Linked DNA regions of Macaca fascicularis. The protein of the gene in region 2 binds, or shares a complex with, the protein of the main gene of each other region. Links are inferred from orthologs where the notes say so. Each region holds a gene or a part of one and is shown on either strand. Other genes may lie near its edges. The genes, in order: CACNG1, CACNB3 and CACNA1C.

Region 1 (4,734 bases), on a different chromosome or scaffold from region 2:
TACAATGACACACACAAGACACAGACACACAGACACACACACTGACACATGTACAATGACACACACACAGTGACACACACAGACACACACAACACAGATACACACATACAATGACACACACAAGACACAGACACACAGACACACACACTGACACATGTACAATGACACACACACAGTGACACACAGGCAATGACACACAGACATACAATGACACACAGGCAATGACACACACAATGACACACACGATGATACATACACAAGACAATGACACACACAAGGCACACACACAGAGACACACTGACACACATGTACAATAACACACAAAATGACACACATGACATACTGACACAATTACACACACAGTTACACACACAAGACACAGGCACACACAGAAACACACATTGAGACACATATACAATGACACACACAATTACACACAATGACACACAAAATGACACAATGACACACATGACACCACACAATGACACACACACCACACAATGACACACAATGACACACACAAGACACAGTGACACACACAAGACAATGACACACACAATGACACACAAGACACATAGACACACAGAGACACACACACATGTACAATGACACCCACACAATGAGACCCACACAAGACACACAGAAACACATACTGACACAATGACACAAGATACAGAGACACACACTGACATACGTACCATGACATACACACAATGACACACACAAGACACACAGAGACACACTGACACACATGTACAATGACATGCACACGACATGCAGTGACACACAATGACACACACAAGACACAGTGACACACACAAGACTGACACAATGACACACAAGACAGACACACAGAGACACACACACGTACAATGACACCCACACAATGACACCCACACAAGACACACAGAAACACATACTGACACAATGACACAACACAATGACACAAGACACACACAGAGACACACACTGACACATGTACCATGACATACACACAATGACACACACACAAGACACAGAGACACACTGACACACATGTACATTGACATGCACATGACATGCAGTGACACACAATGACACACGAGACACAATGACACAAGACACAGTGACACACAGGCAATGACACAGACACTAACATGCACAGATACATGTACACACCAGCACATGCAGACACACATACACACAGTGACACACCAACACACTGACAGACCCAGATACACATGCACACACTACCATACGCAGACACTAACACATTCTGACAGATCCTCACATATGTGACACATACATGAACACACACACTAACCACACACAGACGCGCACACTGCTACACACACTGGCAGAGCCTCACGTGCACCGGGCTGCGTGACAAGCCACCCTGTGGTCCTTTGCTCCTTAACCCCAGGCAGACCACCTGCCACCCCAGTGCCTCCTGCCCTGTCACTCGAGGAAAGTTTCTGCTCTGGAAAGGCCTCCAGCCACTTGCCTCTCGCCTCTGCCCCCGGTGGGGACCTTGCAGCCTGATGCTCTGGGAAGACATGGGTAGAAGAAGCCCCATGGCAGCCTGGCTCTGCGTGGGCCTTAGGGAAGGACTTGGCCCCTGGGGCTGTCGGCTTTCTCGTGTGTGAGATGGGAATTGTGGTGCATGGGGTGGTCCCTAACCAGCCACCATGAGAGCTCCTGGACTGAGGCCGCATGCCGGGTGTCCCTTGTGTTTGCAGAGTACAGCATCTCGGCAGCCGCCATCGCCATCTTCAGCCTTGGCTTCGTCATCCTGGGCAGCCTCTGTGTCCTCCTGTCCTTCGGGAAGAAGAGGGACTACCTGCTGCGGCCCGCGTCCATGTTCTACGCTTTTGCAGGTAGACTGGGGGCTCCGCCCGAGCACCGGACTGGGGGGACCATGTCGTGGGGGATTCTCCGCTCCACTCTCATGCCCACTGTGGGATTTGGGTGGGGGGCATTTCCCAGGCTCCATCCCCATCCAGGGGCAAACCTGGCCAAGCCCTCAGCGACCCCAGGTGGGCTGGAGGGAGACAGAGCTTGGCGGTCTGTCCATTCCTCCCCATGATTCAACCCTCAAGGCCCCAAAGAAACTGCCCAGAGAATGATTAACAGAAGAAGGAAAGAAACGTGGTCGCCTTTCTTTCTTTTTCTTGGGGGATGAGGAAGAGGGTCTCGCTCTGTCGCCCAGGCTGGAGTGCAGTGGAACGATCACAGCTCACTGCAGCCTCGAACTCCTGAGTTGAAGGGTTCCTCCCGCCTCAGCCTCCTGAGTACCTGGGACTACAGACGTGCACCACCACACCTGGCTAAGTTTTTATTACATTTTAATTTTTTGTAGAGACAGAGGGCTCATCACTATGTTGCCCAGGCTAGTCTCAAACTCCTGGCCTCAAGCGATCCTCCTGCCTCAGCCTCCCAAAGTGCTGGGATTACAGGCATGAGCCACCGTACCCGGCCATGTGGTCGTCCTTCTAAGGGATGCAGGAATAGGGTGGTGCGTGGACAAATGGATCCTTCTGCAGGCTCCCAGCTAGAACCTGCCTTGAGGCAGCTTTTCCCCCAAGGCAAGGTCACTGCCTCCTCCATGCACACAGGCTGGGGTGGGGCTGGGGGTAACGGCAGGCACCCGTCGGTCCCTGAGCGTACCTGGCTCCGCCCCCAGGTCTCTGCATCCTGGTCTCGGTAGAGGTCATGCGGCAGTCGGTGAAGCGCATGATTGACAGTGAGGACACCGTCTGGATCGAGTACTATTACTCCTGGTCCTTCGCCTGCGCCTGTGCTGCCTTCGTCCTCCTCTTCCTCAGTGGTCTCGCCCTCCTGCTGTTCTCCCTGCCTCGAATGCCCCGGAACCCATGGGAGTCCTGCATGGATGCTGAGCCTGAGCACTAGCCCTCCTGTGGCCCTAGCGACCCTCAGGCTTCTTCTCCAGGAAGCCATGTCTCAGCCCGGAACCTTCCAGAGGGGAGGCGGGAGCAATTTTAGCTCCACCCTGCTCCCATCTGCCCCCTGCCACAGTCGCAGGCTGCTTCCTCTCTCTGAGCTCCTCTGGGCTGCCGCAGGCTCCCCTGGGAATAGAGCAAGAGGATGTCAGTCTCAATCTGGCCACAGTTGGGAAAGGCAGGGCCAGCAGGTGGACAGGTGTTTGCAAGGGCCCCACTTCCCCTGGAGCTCAGAGGTGTCCCCACTGTACCAGCCTCTGATAAGCTGCCTCCGGTTGTCCTTTATGAACATTGCAGGGACAACCTGTGTTTGCCAGTTCTTGGTGTTCTGTGTAAATAGCCAGCCCCTCCCTTTCTCAGTGATAAAACACACCCTCTCTGGTGAGCGCAGCGTCCCCTCCTTGGCTTCCAGGAGCCCTGGGAAGCATTTTTAACTGAGTAGAATCTGTCTGTGGCTTGAAATAAAAAGCTCTCAGAAAACTCACGTTTTCTTCACACCTTGCATAGAAATTGCTCAGATTCCTGGTCACATCAGGGGCCCCCTGACGCGGAATGAGAAGGGAAGGCAGGTCACCCGGGTACGTTGAGGACTTTTGTGGGGACAAGAGGGCAACACACGTGGCTTAGAGGCTCTGAATTCCAACTCAGACAGGGTTTCTCTAGGCCCTGAGATTGTTTTCGGGAGAAACTAGAAACCTTCTGATGAAGCAAGGGTGTTAAAAATAGGAGGGGTTATTTCTAGAGCCTGGCATGCAACGCACCTGGTGCCAACGCAGCGCTAAAGCAGCCAGCCAGTGTCTGATTTCTGATGCTGGATTTCTGTTGTGAAGAACATCAGGAAGCAGGGCTTAGCAGTTAGATGCTTAGGGCCACATGAAAAGCCATGATTTGCACACTTCTGCCTTCCAGAGCCCCACAGTACTTGCCCAAGCTTCCGAAGTGGAGTTCAGACATGATTGGCAGATGGGATCTTTGCCTTGCACCCTGGAGAACCCACTGGAGTTCATGCTCCTAGGGCAAGGTTTGGCAAACTGTGGCCTGTTGGCCACACCTGGCCTGCCCCCTCTTGCTGTATGGCCCACAAGTAAAAGGTAGTTTTTACAGTTTTAAATTGTTCAAAACATTAAATTAAAAAAAAAAAAAAAGCCAGGCTCAGTGGCTCACACCTGTAAATCCCAACACTTTGGGAGGCCAAGGTGGGTGGATCACGAGGTCAGGAGTTCAAGACCAGCCTGGCCAAGATGATGAAACCCCATCTCTATTAAAAACACAAAAAATTAGCCAGGCGTGGTGGTGTGCACCTGTAATCCCAGCTACTCAGCAGGCTGAGGCAGGAGAATCGCTTGAACCCGGGGGGGCGGAGGTTGCAGTGAGCCAAGATTACGCCATTGCACTCCAGCCTGGGCAACAGAGTGAGACTCCATCTCAAAACATTAAAAAAAAAAAACCCAAAACAATCAAGGAACTGGGCATCGTGGCTCACACCTATAATCTCAGTACTTTGGAAGGCTGAGGCAAGAGGACTGTTTGAGTCCAGGAGTTTGAGACCACACTGGGCAACATAGCAAGACTCCATCTCTACAAAAAATAAAAATAAAATAATTTAAAGATAAAAAGAAGAAGAATCTCTCATGACATATGAAGATGATACGAAATTCACATCTCAATGTCTGTAAATAAAGTTAGATTAGAACCCAGCCACACCCATTCTGTGGCTGCTTTCGTCACCATTGAGTAGTTTCAACAGAGATCTTCTGTCCTGCAATGCTGAAAATATTTACTATCTGACCCTGTA
Region 2 (5,821 bases):
TTTATTTACTTAGAGACAGGTCTTGCTCTGTCGCCCAGGCTGGAGTGCAGTGGCACAATCGTGGCTCACTGCAGCCTTGAACTCCTGGGCTCGAGCGATCCTCTTGACTCCTGAGTAGCTAGGACTACAGGCGTGCACTACCATGCCTACTAGTTTTTTGTAGAGACAGGATCTTGCTATTTTGCCTAGGCTGGTCTCAAACTCCTGGGCTTAAGCCATCTTCCTACCTTAGCCTCGCAAAGCACTGAGATTATAGGCATGAGTCTCTGTGCCTGGTTTAATTTAGTAATTTTTTTTTTTGAGACGGAGTCTTACTGTGATGCCCAGGCTGGAGTGTAATGGCGTGATGTTGGCTCACTGCAACCTCTGCCTCCAGGATTCAAGCATTTCTCCTGCCCCAGCCTCCTGAGTGGTTGGGACTACAGGCATGCGCCACCATGCTAGGCTAATTTCTGTATTTTTAGGAGACACGGGCTTTCACCATATTGGCCAGGCTGGTTTCCAACTCCTGACCTCAAGTGATCCGCCCGGCTTGGCCACCCAAAGCGCTGGGATTACAGGCCTGAGCCACCTTGCGGCCTAATTTAGTAGTAATAACGCCTGGGGCATCTGGGGTTACCTGACCTCTCACCCTGGGATGGGAATCACAGGATCTCTCCCTAAATAATTTTTTTTTTTTTTTTTTGAGACGGAGTCTCACGCTGTTGCCCAGGCTGGAGTGCAGTGGCGCGATCTCGGCTCACTGCAAGCTCCGCCTCCCGGGTTCCCGCCATTCTCCTGCCTCAGCCTCCTGAGTAGCTGGGACTACAGGCGCCCGCCACCGCGCCCGGCTAATTTTTTGTATTTTTAGTAGAGACGGGGTTTCACTGTGGTCTCGATCTCCTGACCTTGTGATCCGCCCGCCTCGGCCTCCCAAAGTGCTGGGATTACAGGCTTGAGCCACCGCGCCCGGCCGTCTCTCCCTAAATAATTAATGAGTTGTGCTCAGAATGGAAGCCCCTCTCCATTACTTCCAAGTCCTCCAGGCTAACTTATCTCTCGTGCTCCGGTATTACTTCGGGAGGCCAGGGCTGCCCTGCCAGGCATGATCTAGGGTCTTACCTTTCCTGTACCCTGCTATGCCAAAAGAGCCAGAGTGTCAGTACTTTGGAGCTGCCAGGAGTTGGCACAGTGCCCTGGTGGTGCCCCCCTTGCCTAGTGAGTGTGTGGGCAGGCTGCAGCTCCTCTCTTGCCTGGCACGGGGGAAGGAGAGGAGGGAGATGAGCCGTTGGATTTATTTAGAGCCTGATCTCCCTCCTACTGCTTCAGAGGGGGCCTCAGGGAGAGCAAGGAGCCAGGCAAGAGAAAGGGAGGTGGGGGAGGGTGATCAGGAGCCAGAGAGCGATGGGAGGGAGCAATGGGTCAGCAGGCTGTCCTCCAACACCATCCACATGTCAGTCTGTTCCTTGCAATAGCCCTTGCCTTCTCACCAGGGATGGGAAGAACCTCCTAGGGCCCTCCAGCCCCACAGAGAGGTTTGTTCTCAAGCTCACCTTGGCACCCTGGGCTATACCAGCTGTCCCTTCAACTGTCAGAAAGAGGTGTCCACCAGAGCCTTGAAAATGATCTGCTCTAGCAGCAATGTAATTACCCCAGAGGCCCCATGGAAAATTGGGCCCAGAAGGAGCCCAGTCCCAGAAAAGGACAGTTGCCTATTCTGAGCATCAGCACTCATCTATCCTGGGCCTGGCAGCAAGTGATGGGAGAAGACTGGAACATACTCCTCTTTCCGACCCAGGGGTGCTCCATCCTATCGGGACCCCTTCCAAGCCATCTATTGGTCCACTCCTAAGGAGGCCTTCTTACAGGACATTTGAGGGAAAGTTGGCAGCTCCAAGGGTCTGAGAAGCTGCTCCGCATTCTTGCCCCATCTTTCCAGGCACTCTCCCTGCTGTCTGAGCTCCGGGAATCACTGCTTAATGAGCTGATTTGTCTCAGTGGGTCAGGAGATAAAAGCAAAGAGGAGAATTAAATATTTATTGGTTGCCTGTTTCTCTGAGCAAAGCGCATCCTCTCCATCCCCAGGCCCTCAGCTCCTCTGGCCTCACCTCCAGGCCCTCCATGCTGGGCAAGAGCTCAGGATGCCCGCTGCTCAGAGGAAGCCTCAGCAGGGGGCTGTGGAATGGATGGGGCTCAGTCACCTGGCCTACCCATGTGCTGGGTGCCCAGGTTTCAGCCTGAGAGGGAAACTGGGCTAGAGAAAGGGTGAGGAGATGAGGCAGTGCGCAGAGATGGAGGGGGTAGAAGGGAATAATGGAGCTCCTCAAGTTTTAGGATCCCTCTGTCTAAAGAGGCTGGTCCCTGGCTCCCTGGTGTCCTCTCAGCTCCCTAATGTGTTGTTTGCTTGAGGCACAAGAGGTCCGGAATGTCTGCCTCCCCAACTACCTCGGCGGCTCTCCTAGCTGTTGTGTTCAGACCCCAGAAATCCAGAATTTGGAACTCCAGACATGGCGTGTTCCCTCTCCAGAGCCTCTGTGCCCTCGGCCTCCAGCCCTGCCTCCTCCCACCCCTCTTTCCTGGGCCGTGGAGCCACCTGCTTGAGCCCTTCCCCTATACTGCCCCCTCTCTGCACACACCCGATGCCCCAGGGTCTGAGTCTGGGTCGCTGGGGAGCGCTTGGCATGAAAATCCATCTCCCCACGTTTTTAGAGCGCCCCCCTACACACACTGCCCTGCCACTGAGGCGTTTTTCAAAGTCCTGAACTGGGGGAAGGGTTGAAGGGAGAGGAGGTGTCACCCCAACTTCCCCGCCCCCACCCTCACCGTGGGCACTCACCGCCTCCGAGTCCTCAAACCCGGGCACGTAGGAGTCGTCATACATGGGGGAGTCCGGGTGGGGGAAGCGAGCGGCGCCGGGGGCGGGAGCGGCCCGGAGGCAGGGGCGAGGACTGCGGGCCGCGCCCGGGAGATGCCACGGAGCCCCGCAGCCCTGCGGGCGGCGGCGGGGAGCGAGAGAGCGCGAAGGAGGGAGCGAGCCGCGAAGACCAGCTGCTCGGAGCTCAAATCACCGCTCCCCCCACCCCACCCCCCCAAACCCAGCCGGTCCCACCCCGAGCGCGGCTGAGGAATCTGGCGCCCGCTCCTACAACAATAGTGCCCGCCCACCTGACCCCCTCCCTGGGAGAAGGCGGGGGCGGCGAGGGGGCGGCGGCCACCGGGGAGCCCGGGCCAGGCCCGGAGAGGGGAACGGACCCGTGCTGGGTGGAAGGTGGGTCCCGGAGCACCTACGGGGCCTTGGCGGCTGGGAGGAAGGGGAGGAGAGGCTGCGGGCGGGGCGGATCCAGGCAGGGAGGAGGCGGGGCGAGGAGAGATGCGGAGACAGAGACGCTCGGCAACCCAGGAACTACTCCGCCGGGAAACAAAGGGCTGCGGCGGGGGAGGGAGGGGGCGCTGAGACCGCGAGGAAGACGCGACCCGGGCGGAGACTGGAGAGGGCGCAGGTGTCGAGGAAGCCGGAGAGAGAGAGGCAGAGGGAGGACGGAGAGGACAGGAAAATGGGGAGACCCTGGGAGACAGAAGAGGCGCGGGAACAAGCGGCAGACGGGGGAGGGGTCCCAGGCGACAGCAGTGCGGGTCTGGGCCCGTGCGTCCCGGAGGCTCCGAAGCAGACCCCGCAGTAGTCCCGGGGAGGAATGGGCTTAGTGCCCCCAGGCTAATGCCAGGACGGCAACTCCTGCCCCAACAGGTGCCCGGCCCCCTCAGTACGGGAACGCTGCGGCAAAGGCGGTGTTGCCTAGCCCTTGAGAAGGGAGGAACTTTCCGTGAGCTGGATAGGCCTCCCCACACCTGTTGCACAGATAGATTTCGTCTTAGTCCGGCCAGGATGGGGGTTCCGTTCCCCACTTCCCTGCCAAGGATCGTGCCAGACAGTGCCAAGGCATCCGTGGGAACTGGGTCAGAAAGGGGCTATTTTAGGTGAGCCTAAAGGGAGGGGAGAGAAACCAGAGGGTGGTGGTAGGGGATAGTTGTGGGTGGGATCCTGGCTACACTGGGGTTAGGAGAGGAAAGGGCCAGTCTCCTCAGAGTCACTAGGGTAAGGCCAGATTCTCCCCTCAGCAGAAGGGCTTGTACCACTCTGCACCACTCAGTCTCCTTCACAGGAACACTGAGATTTGAGGTAAGAGAGCCGCAGCCCTTATATTGAGGAAACTTTCCCCAAAGATCCACCCATTTGAGCTCTCTCCTTTTTTCATCTCCTGAGCAAAATTCCTTCTTTGATTTTTGACTGCCTACCTTTGTGCCCCACAAGGAGGACGTCCATAGACAGGGGTACACTTGGAGGCCTCCTGGTGCCCATGCCCTTGGCCCTGAGCTCAGTCCTTTTCCTTTCCCAATTTCTCACACCCGGGAGTTCAGCAATCTGCTCATCCCTCCTAGGCTTGAGGAGAATCAGACATCCAAAACTCTGACATAGCTTAATAAGATCTGTGGTAGAAGGCACTGTGCATGGGAGAGAGAAAGCCCACCCAAACCAAGTGGCTTCCCACCTGGGTCACTTATCGGTGTTATCTTAGCAAGAAAAAGAAGAGGCTTCATCTTCAGACTGACATCTTTAGTCTGTCTACTGTGGGTGGCCCAGAGCAGCCCTGCCCAGCACCTTCCTCATGCTGGGTTTGACAAACAACTTTGTTACAGCCCCTGTGGCTGAAGGGACGTCGCTATTGGGGGAGGCAGTCAGCTTTCACAGTTGCCTCTCCTGAGTCCAGCACCAATTGGGGTTTGGTCATATACTGGATTCGTATTGGAAGTTCCGACACTGCCCACTTTTGTGCCCTCACCCAGTTACTCAGTATTCCTTGTATCCCCCTCTTTCATCCTTTTCAATTCCTTCTGTCTTTCAGGGGCCGAGAGAGGTGTCGGAGAGTAAGACCCTCAAGGTGCTTTTCTCCTGGGAGATGGTTCTAATGAAGAAAGCAGTGGTGGAGGCAGCTGCTTCTCTTCCCATCCCTGCATCCACTCTCTTGGCCTCTCCTTTTGGGACTCTCCCACCCACAGAAGGTCCTGGGGCTGTAGGTAACAGCGGATCTGCCATGGGCAGCACTCCTTCCTCACACTCCTTGTAATCTGCGACAAGGTTGTCTAAGTCTGCTCCTGAGGCATGTGTTGCCATGCCAACCATCCCCAGGAGATGGATTCAAGTTCCTCATACCTGGCCCTTCCCCTGGGTCCTGCAGGAGCTTCAGAACTTCCCTCCTTCTCCTCATATCTCTGGGTTGCTACCCAATGCCCCTTTCCTTTCTCATCTCACCCACACCTGCCTACTCCAGTTGTAATGCCAACTTGGTGACTTCTTGTCCTGTGACACGACATGTGCCTGTCAGTATCCATGTAGCCCTAACCTCTTTTCTTTTTCATGGCTGGGCATAAAGGGAGAGAGCTGAGGGCAATAAAGGATCAGGGGAGAGGCTCCTCCTGCTGATTCTTTCTAGGAGAGAGTTGTTAGACTGGCAGCTGGCAGGTACCCAAGTCATGGAAGCAAGACATAAGAGAAAAACCCTGAATAATCAGGTTTGGGAGCTGGAGTTCTTGGGAGGTTTCAGAATATATTCTAGCTTCTCCTGTAAGTGCACCAGGAAGCTGGGCAGATCCCTGTCCCTGGGCACTGAATGGGGAAACTGAGGCAGAAGCTAGGCCTTCTGGGAAGACTTAAAGACTCCTCTCCAGCAGTTTTTTTTTTTTTTTTTTTTTTTGAGACGGAGTCTCGCTGTGTCTCCCAGGCTGGAGTGCAGTGGCGTGATCTCGGCTCACTGCAAGCTCCGCCTCCCGGGTTCACGCCATTCTC
Region 3 (5,821 bases), about 53 Mb from region 2:
ATTATTATTTGTCCTTTGTTTTTCCATAATGAAGAGAAATGCATGTGCTTTTGCAGAATTGTTGCATTCTTTGAGCTCTTAGTTGCTAGTGCCTAACAAGTAGTCAATCAGGAAAAATGGTATATGGTAGGGTTGTAATAATAAATACACATTAAATGAGTACATTAGTGCCTACATAGTGCTGAATCAATCGAAATATATAGTCTTTGGGAGCTCATAGCCTAATGACAGAATCCCATCAACATTACTTAAGCATAAGAAGGTAAAGCATTTGAAGCAAAATAAACTCTCAGTGAAGGTTGAAGGAGAACAAAAGGGGTGATGTGAGGAGACTGTCCATGCTGAAATCTCTAGTAGAAGGTGTAATCAATTGATAGAGAATTCTAGCATATCTGATCCACGTTTAATTATTCCAGGAAGTGATAATTATTGATATCAACAATTATAAGGATTATTGATGGTAGAAGAGCTTGAAGTCTTAGACTTCAGTTCAACTTGGCACGTATTTGTTGAATGTCTGCACATGCTGGTTGCTGTACTGGGTGTATTAACAAAGTCCTCCCCTCCAGTAGCTTATAGTCTAGTGGAGGGAACAGATTTATAAATGCTTAATTTATTACCTTTTTTAGTACAAGGATGTACAAAAAAAACTACAGGAGCAAAGAAAAAGTTGGGACTGTTTATCCCTAGAGGAGTGAGAAAGCCTGAGTCTTCAAGGATGAGTAGAGAGAAGGAAAAGATGTATTAGGGACTCCCTGCATGATATTTGTGGCCAAGGAGATTTTGAAATTTATCAGCAAGATTATGAACAAATGAAAATATAAATTTAAGTGGCCAATAAAGCAGAATAAGTTGTTTCTATTTATATTTGTTACCAACTGTGGACTTTTCAGCTTCCTAACTTTTAAAAGTTTATTTACTCTGTTATATCTCTTAGATTAAAGGAACAAATAAAACTAGGAAATTAGTATATGATGAAAAAGATCCCATATGACCTCTGGTAAACCTGAGGGTAGTAGATGACCTCAAGTTTCCCAGTTTAGGAAGATAATGACCTCTGTGAAGATTAGGAAGATTGAATGATATAACATGAATCCATTATGAATTAAAACTTTCTAAAAGATTAAATCCATCTTTTACTGGGAAAGTAATAAATTCTCATTTATAGTTGGAGAGTACATATTAATTTAATCCAAATTAGTATAAAGCTTTAATTAAGATAGTTTTGTTTGTTTTTAATGGCATTAACTTTCTAATAACGTTAATTTATTTAGAAAGGGGAAGGTTGTTACTACTGTTTCCCCCAAAATGTTCATGAGTATTAGTCACCCGTAAAATAGAAACTGCTTCTCATCTGCTTTGAACCTTTCATTCTTCCCAGGTCATGGGATCACTGATTTGTGAGGTGCAGTAAAACCATGTCATATGAAGAGAAGCAGACCAAGGGCCAAAGATAACAGTGCTACGTAGACTCTCAGTGGCCAGTGAAGATTTTATTTTACAAGATTGTGTCCGTGTTTGGTCAGTAAAGCTAAGGCGGAAGGTGAATGGAAGAACATTACTTTAAAGGCATTAGAGAACATGCTGGAGGAAAGCATTTTGAGTGCAAACATTCCAAATGGGGAAGAAGTACAGAATCCGCATAGAGCCGGCCAAACACAGCCTGTGTTTCCCATCTATGGATGCCAGCACGCAGGCAGCGTCACTGCTGCTCGAGTGTTTACTGCTGTGAAAACATTGCCACTACCAGAAAGCTTAATTCCCTTCTTCTTTCTTTTCTCTCTTTTTCTCCCCCTCCGTCCCTCCCTTCCTCACTGATCTCCGCCCCCCCTTCATTCCATCCTTCTTTTTTTCCTTTAGAGAGTCCACATGAACTTTGGTTTAAAAAGACTAATTCCAGTCTTTTATAACCAAGCCTAGAACTCAATCCAATATGTAAAAACAAATTTGAATGCTTCATCTATTTCATTTGAAAGGCTAGGAGAAGGGCATATTTTAGGGGAAACAGATTAAACCAAGAAAAATGACTTTGGCTAGCTTGTTTAGCCTTGTTAGACCACAGATTCCTCATTAGGGAAATAGGTTATTGAACTGCATGCTTCTTACCTGACTTCTGGCTCTAAAATTTCATGGTTCTATTTTTCTGTTTTTTTTAAAAATATCTTGAGGTCTTTCAAATGCCTAGTAACTGTGTGTGCATGTGTACTACCATATGCTAGTAAGTAGTCATCATCAGGATGGCCAAATTTATTAAAGCTTGATCTAGATAAATGGTACAGTAAATCAAGAAATACTATATTTGAATGAAATCTCAGAAACAAGTGTTTACACAAATATATGATTAGATGTTCTCCATCCTTACATTGAAAATACTATTCTACTCTTTTGAGAAAGACTTCATGAAAGGAATGGAGTTTGAAGGAATTTTTAAATTTTTGGTTTATCCTTAGATGCCCAGAAGAGGTTTGTGTAATTTAACACTCCCTTGTTTCCATGGCTTTCCAAGTAAAAAGAAGGAACTTAAATGCTTTCCTTGCTGGATACTAAGAAAAACATATTTCCCTATCCTTTTGAGAGGAATTAGTGAAATTATATTAGAAAGAACATTACCAAATCAGATGTCCTGCCTATTTAAATTTTACCCGTGTAATTATGTGTTTATCATCCACTTCCTAATTGAATGGATATATATCTTCTTTTAAAAATTTACACAAACATTATCACATGTCCTCATTAGACAATTATAAGCTATCATTCATGATTTGGAGTTGTATGGTATCCGGGTAAAATATAAAACAAATTATAAATATCTTAAAAGAACAGATCGAACAGAAGTATTAGGAACATAAACAAGATGAGGCAAATCCCCAAAGAACATGTAAAATGAACTAATGCACCATGCTAATAAGAATCAAAGGGTTACAAATGAAAATGTGCATTTGAGTGACATTGATACCACCTTTAATGGCCTCTTAACTAGCCTCTTAAAATTTGACCAGCTTTTTATTTTTCCACTGAAGAAATTTAAAAAAGAAAACACCACTATTGAATATAATCAGCTTGCTCTCTGCCTTGTCTTTGTGGACCTACAAAATCCAGACATGAAGTCTAATACGGAAATTTTGATCTCCTTGATCTTTCTGACAGAGTTAAAAGGAAAGTAAAAGATTGGTGTTTTATTATGTAAAGGCAGTATTGCATTTCCTGTTGCCTCAAACATCACTTTTTTTCAATTGAGAATTTCCAAAGAACGGCATAAACCAGGATGGTGCAGTTATAGGCAAAATTTCACAACGGTGTGTGGTAAATCCTGATTAAATATGGAGAGATGAGTTCTTAGAGTGAGGCAGTCACATTCTAAGTATCATTAGAATATTTAGAGTAAATTTCCACATGTTCTTCCTACTCTTTATTTCGCTTTAGGGTTTCTTACCTCCAGGAGAGATGTAGAAATAGTTGAGTTGAGCTTCGTGCACCAAAGTACCCTTAAACTTGACCTCCGTGTCGGCAGACAGGTGGCTGGGAAGCGGCTGGTATGCAGGCGTACCAGGCTGAACAAAGGCTCGAAGCATTGTGAATTTCCAGTTGTAATTAATTGGTTGATTTTTAAAGCTAAATAATTACCCTGCTCATGATCTCTTGTAATTTTTTAAAACCCAGAAGCCATTCCTGCAGTAACATTTCAGTGCCACAAAAGTTTACATGGCCATATCATATCGCTGCAAGTTTAGGTTACAGTAAAATTACTTTTAAATTTTAGAATTCTAAACAAAACAAAACAAAACACCTTCTTGCTTGATTCTTTTCAACCTTGTATTTTCTGTCTTCCCTGCTCTGCTCCCAGCCTATGTAGGGATGGGCCTCTCACCCAGTGGCTTTACGGGAAAACTTGGATTGAAATGTGAACTTCATGGTTTCTGTCAGCCTGTCAGCTCATCACCTCCCTAAGGCATGATGATCTCTGGCTTTTATATATCTCCACAGACTGCTTTGATAGACCCTCTTGTGTGGAAGAGTGATAGGTTTGTCCAGGGGTTGGTAGACCTTAGGGCTAAGAGGCAGGAAACTTCAGTTGGAATGCGAACTTTAATGGAATTCACAGCCTCTTTCCCAGGGGAATGCAGCTCAAGTTGCAAAACTATTTTAGGGAGAAGAAAGTTAGGCCCAGTTCTGCATTTTATCTTGGTGCCACTTTTTGGTAGCCAGAACTCTTGGTTAATGTTTCTTTTTCCTCCTTGGCTATTTAAATTTTCTGTCCAGACTAAACTGGGATCAAAAGAGTTATCTCAAAATGATCTCATTTTAATTTTTAAAGCCATGTTGCTTTGGAGATAAATGATTGGGTCCTAAAGAAGGTCTTCACAGTGTCTTCAATAATTACTGCAAGCTCAGTCTTTCCTTCATTTTGCTTTGACATCTGAAAGATGTTCCATGGCATTTTCCCTCCCTAAGTCTGCATTTCAGTTATCTCGTGGTAATGACAATGTCAGACTGTTTTTCTGTTTGTATCAACAGTTTTCTTGGCATACCACCCTTACAAAAGCCTAATTCCTTATGTCAGATGCCACAAATGTATAACATCAAACAAAAGATACCCAAAATATTCCTATTACTAGAGCCTACTCATGAGACAACAATGGCCGGCTTTTCCTCTGCCGTTGGGCCTCGTGTTTCTGAGTTATGCTCTATTTTTCTCCCTTACTGCCACCTTTCTCCTTTGATAGTTTTGGAAAAGTCAGTCTTCAAGGAAAGAAAACTTACACTGTAACCAAAAAAATAGACCAGGCTTCTAGTTTTGTGACTAAGGTTAAAGTCACCAAGACACACAAACATATTCAGATTTATTAAGTGGTTGAACATCAGTGTTCCAGTCTGCTTTGACTTCAAGAACGTGAGGGTAGGCAGGTTAGTGTGGGAATCTGTGTAGGGAATCAGAGTAGGGAATTACTGTTGATGGACTGGAAGCAACCTTGAATATGAAGTTTCAAGATACACATTCAGTGATCTTGAGATAAAAGAATTTTGTTTTGATGTAAAACCTCTCATAGCACATGGGCTTCAGAACTCAGATGTTCTTTAAAAAAAAAAAAAAAAGTCAGTGTACCAAGGAGGAAAATGTGTATGTATTTTCACCTAAGAGAGTAAAATGGTCCTCTTCAAGGAAAAGCTGGAATCTTTTCCCCTACTTCCCCCCTACTTCACATGCAGGTAGGTAAGATAAGATAAAAGATTTCTGGTACACCGATAATTGCAAAACAAAGTTTAAAGCCCTATTGCCACCTTTTGGCAAGTTAGTAATTCAGATTCATAGGTTCCTCTTTAAGATACCTGCTTAAAATAGCACTATACAGACCTTTCTTGTACCTTTTGATATCTGAATCATTACTGACGAGAAGCAGAAATTCCATGCCCACACATTGGTCAGGTAAGAGGAGAAAAAAGATGTAGTTAGAATATCACAGCTGTTTTAACAGCAAAATACTATTAATATAATTACGTGTTTGGAAAGTTTGAATTTGAAGTCTTTTTTCCCTTTTAAAAACATGTTTTGTTGGTTTTCATTGCCCTATCATAATATTGTTGCTATTTTCACTGAAGATTTTTAAAATGTGTATGTAGTTAATGTATTACTTAGATGATTAATGCCATCAGATCCTCAACTAGTTAGTTATAAACGTCTTTTGGAGCTGTTTCAGCCTTTACTATAAAAATGATATAGATAGGCACGTACTAAGGTGTACAACTTATTTGAACGTTATTAAATGAATCAATAGCAGGTATATTATGTCACAGTTCCTTTCATTACTAAGTGATGAAATCA

Evidence for each region.
Region 1: CACNB3 (region 2) and CACNG1 share a complex: the UniProt entries of both Homo sapiens proteins name them as parts of the calcium channel complex. The link is inferred for Macaca fascicularis from reciprocal best matches to the Homo sapiens genes CACNB3 and CACNG1.
Region 3: CACNB3 (region 2) and CACNA1C share a complex: the UniProt entries of both Homo sapiens proteins name them as parts of the calcium channel complex. The link is inferred for Macaca fascicularis from reciprocal best matches to the Homo sapiens genes CACNB3 and CACNA1C.

Annotation. Positions count from the first base shown.
Region 1 is NC_088390.1:73,486,455-73,491,188, forward strand, and holds the end of CACNG1 (voltage-dependent calcium channel gamma-1 subunit), read left to right. Parts: intron 1-1,718; coding exon 1,719-1,856; intron 1,857-2,662; coding exon 2,663-2,889; 3' UTR 2,890-3,419; downstream 3,420-4,734. UniProt on the Homo sapiens protein: Regulatory subunit of the voltage-gated calcium channel that gives rise to L-type calcium currents in skeletal muscle. Regulates channel inactivation kinetics.
Region 2 is NC_088385.1:55,626,711-55,632,531, reverse strand, and holds the start of CACNB3 (voltage-dependent L-type calcium channel subunit beta-3), read right to left. Parts: upstream 3,268-5,821; 5' UTR 2,861-3,267; coding exon of another isoform or gene 2,816-2,860; intron 2,155-2,815; 5' UTR 2,088-2,154; exon of another isoform or gene 1,964-2,087; 5' UTR 1,900-1,963; coding exon 1,846-1,899; intron 1-1,845. UniProt on the Homo sapiens protein: Regulatory subunit of the voltage-gated calcium channel that gives rise to L-type calcium currents. Increases CACNA1B peak calcium current and shifts the voltage dependencies of channel activation and inactivation.
Region 3 is NC_088385.1:2,817,471-2,823,291, reverse strand, and holds the start of CACNA1C (voltage-dependent L-type calcium channel subunit alpha-1C), read right to left. Parts: upstream 3,858-5,821; 5' UTR 3,573-3,857; coding exon 3,434-3,572; intron 1,544-3,433; exon of another isoform or gene 1,382-1,543; intron 1-1,381. UniProt on the Homo sapiens protein: Pore-forming, alpha-1C subunit of the voltage-gated calcium channel that gives rise to L-type calcium currents. Mediates influx of calcium ions into the cytoplasm, and thereby triggers calcium release from the sarcoplasm.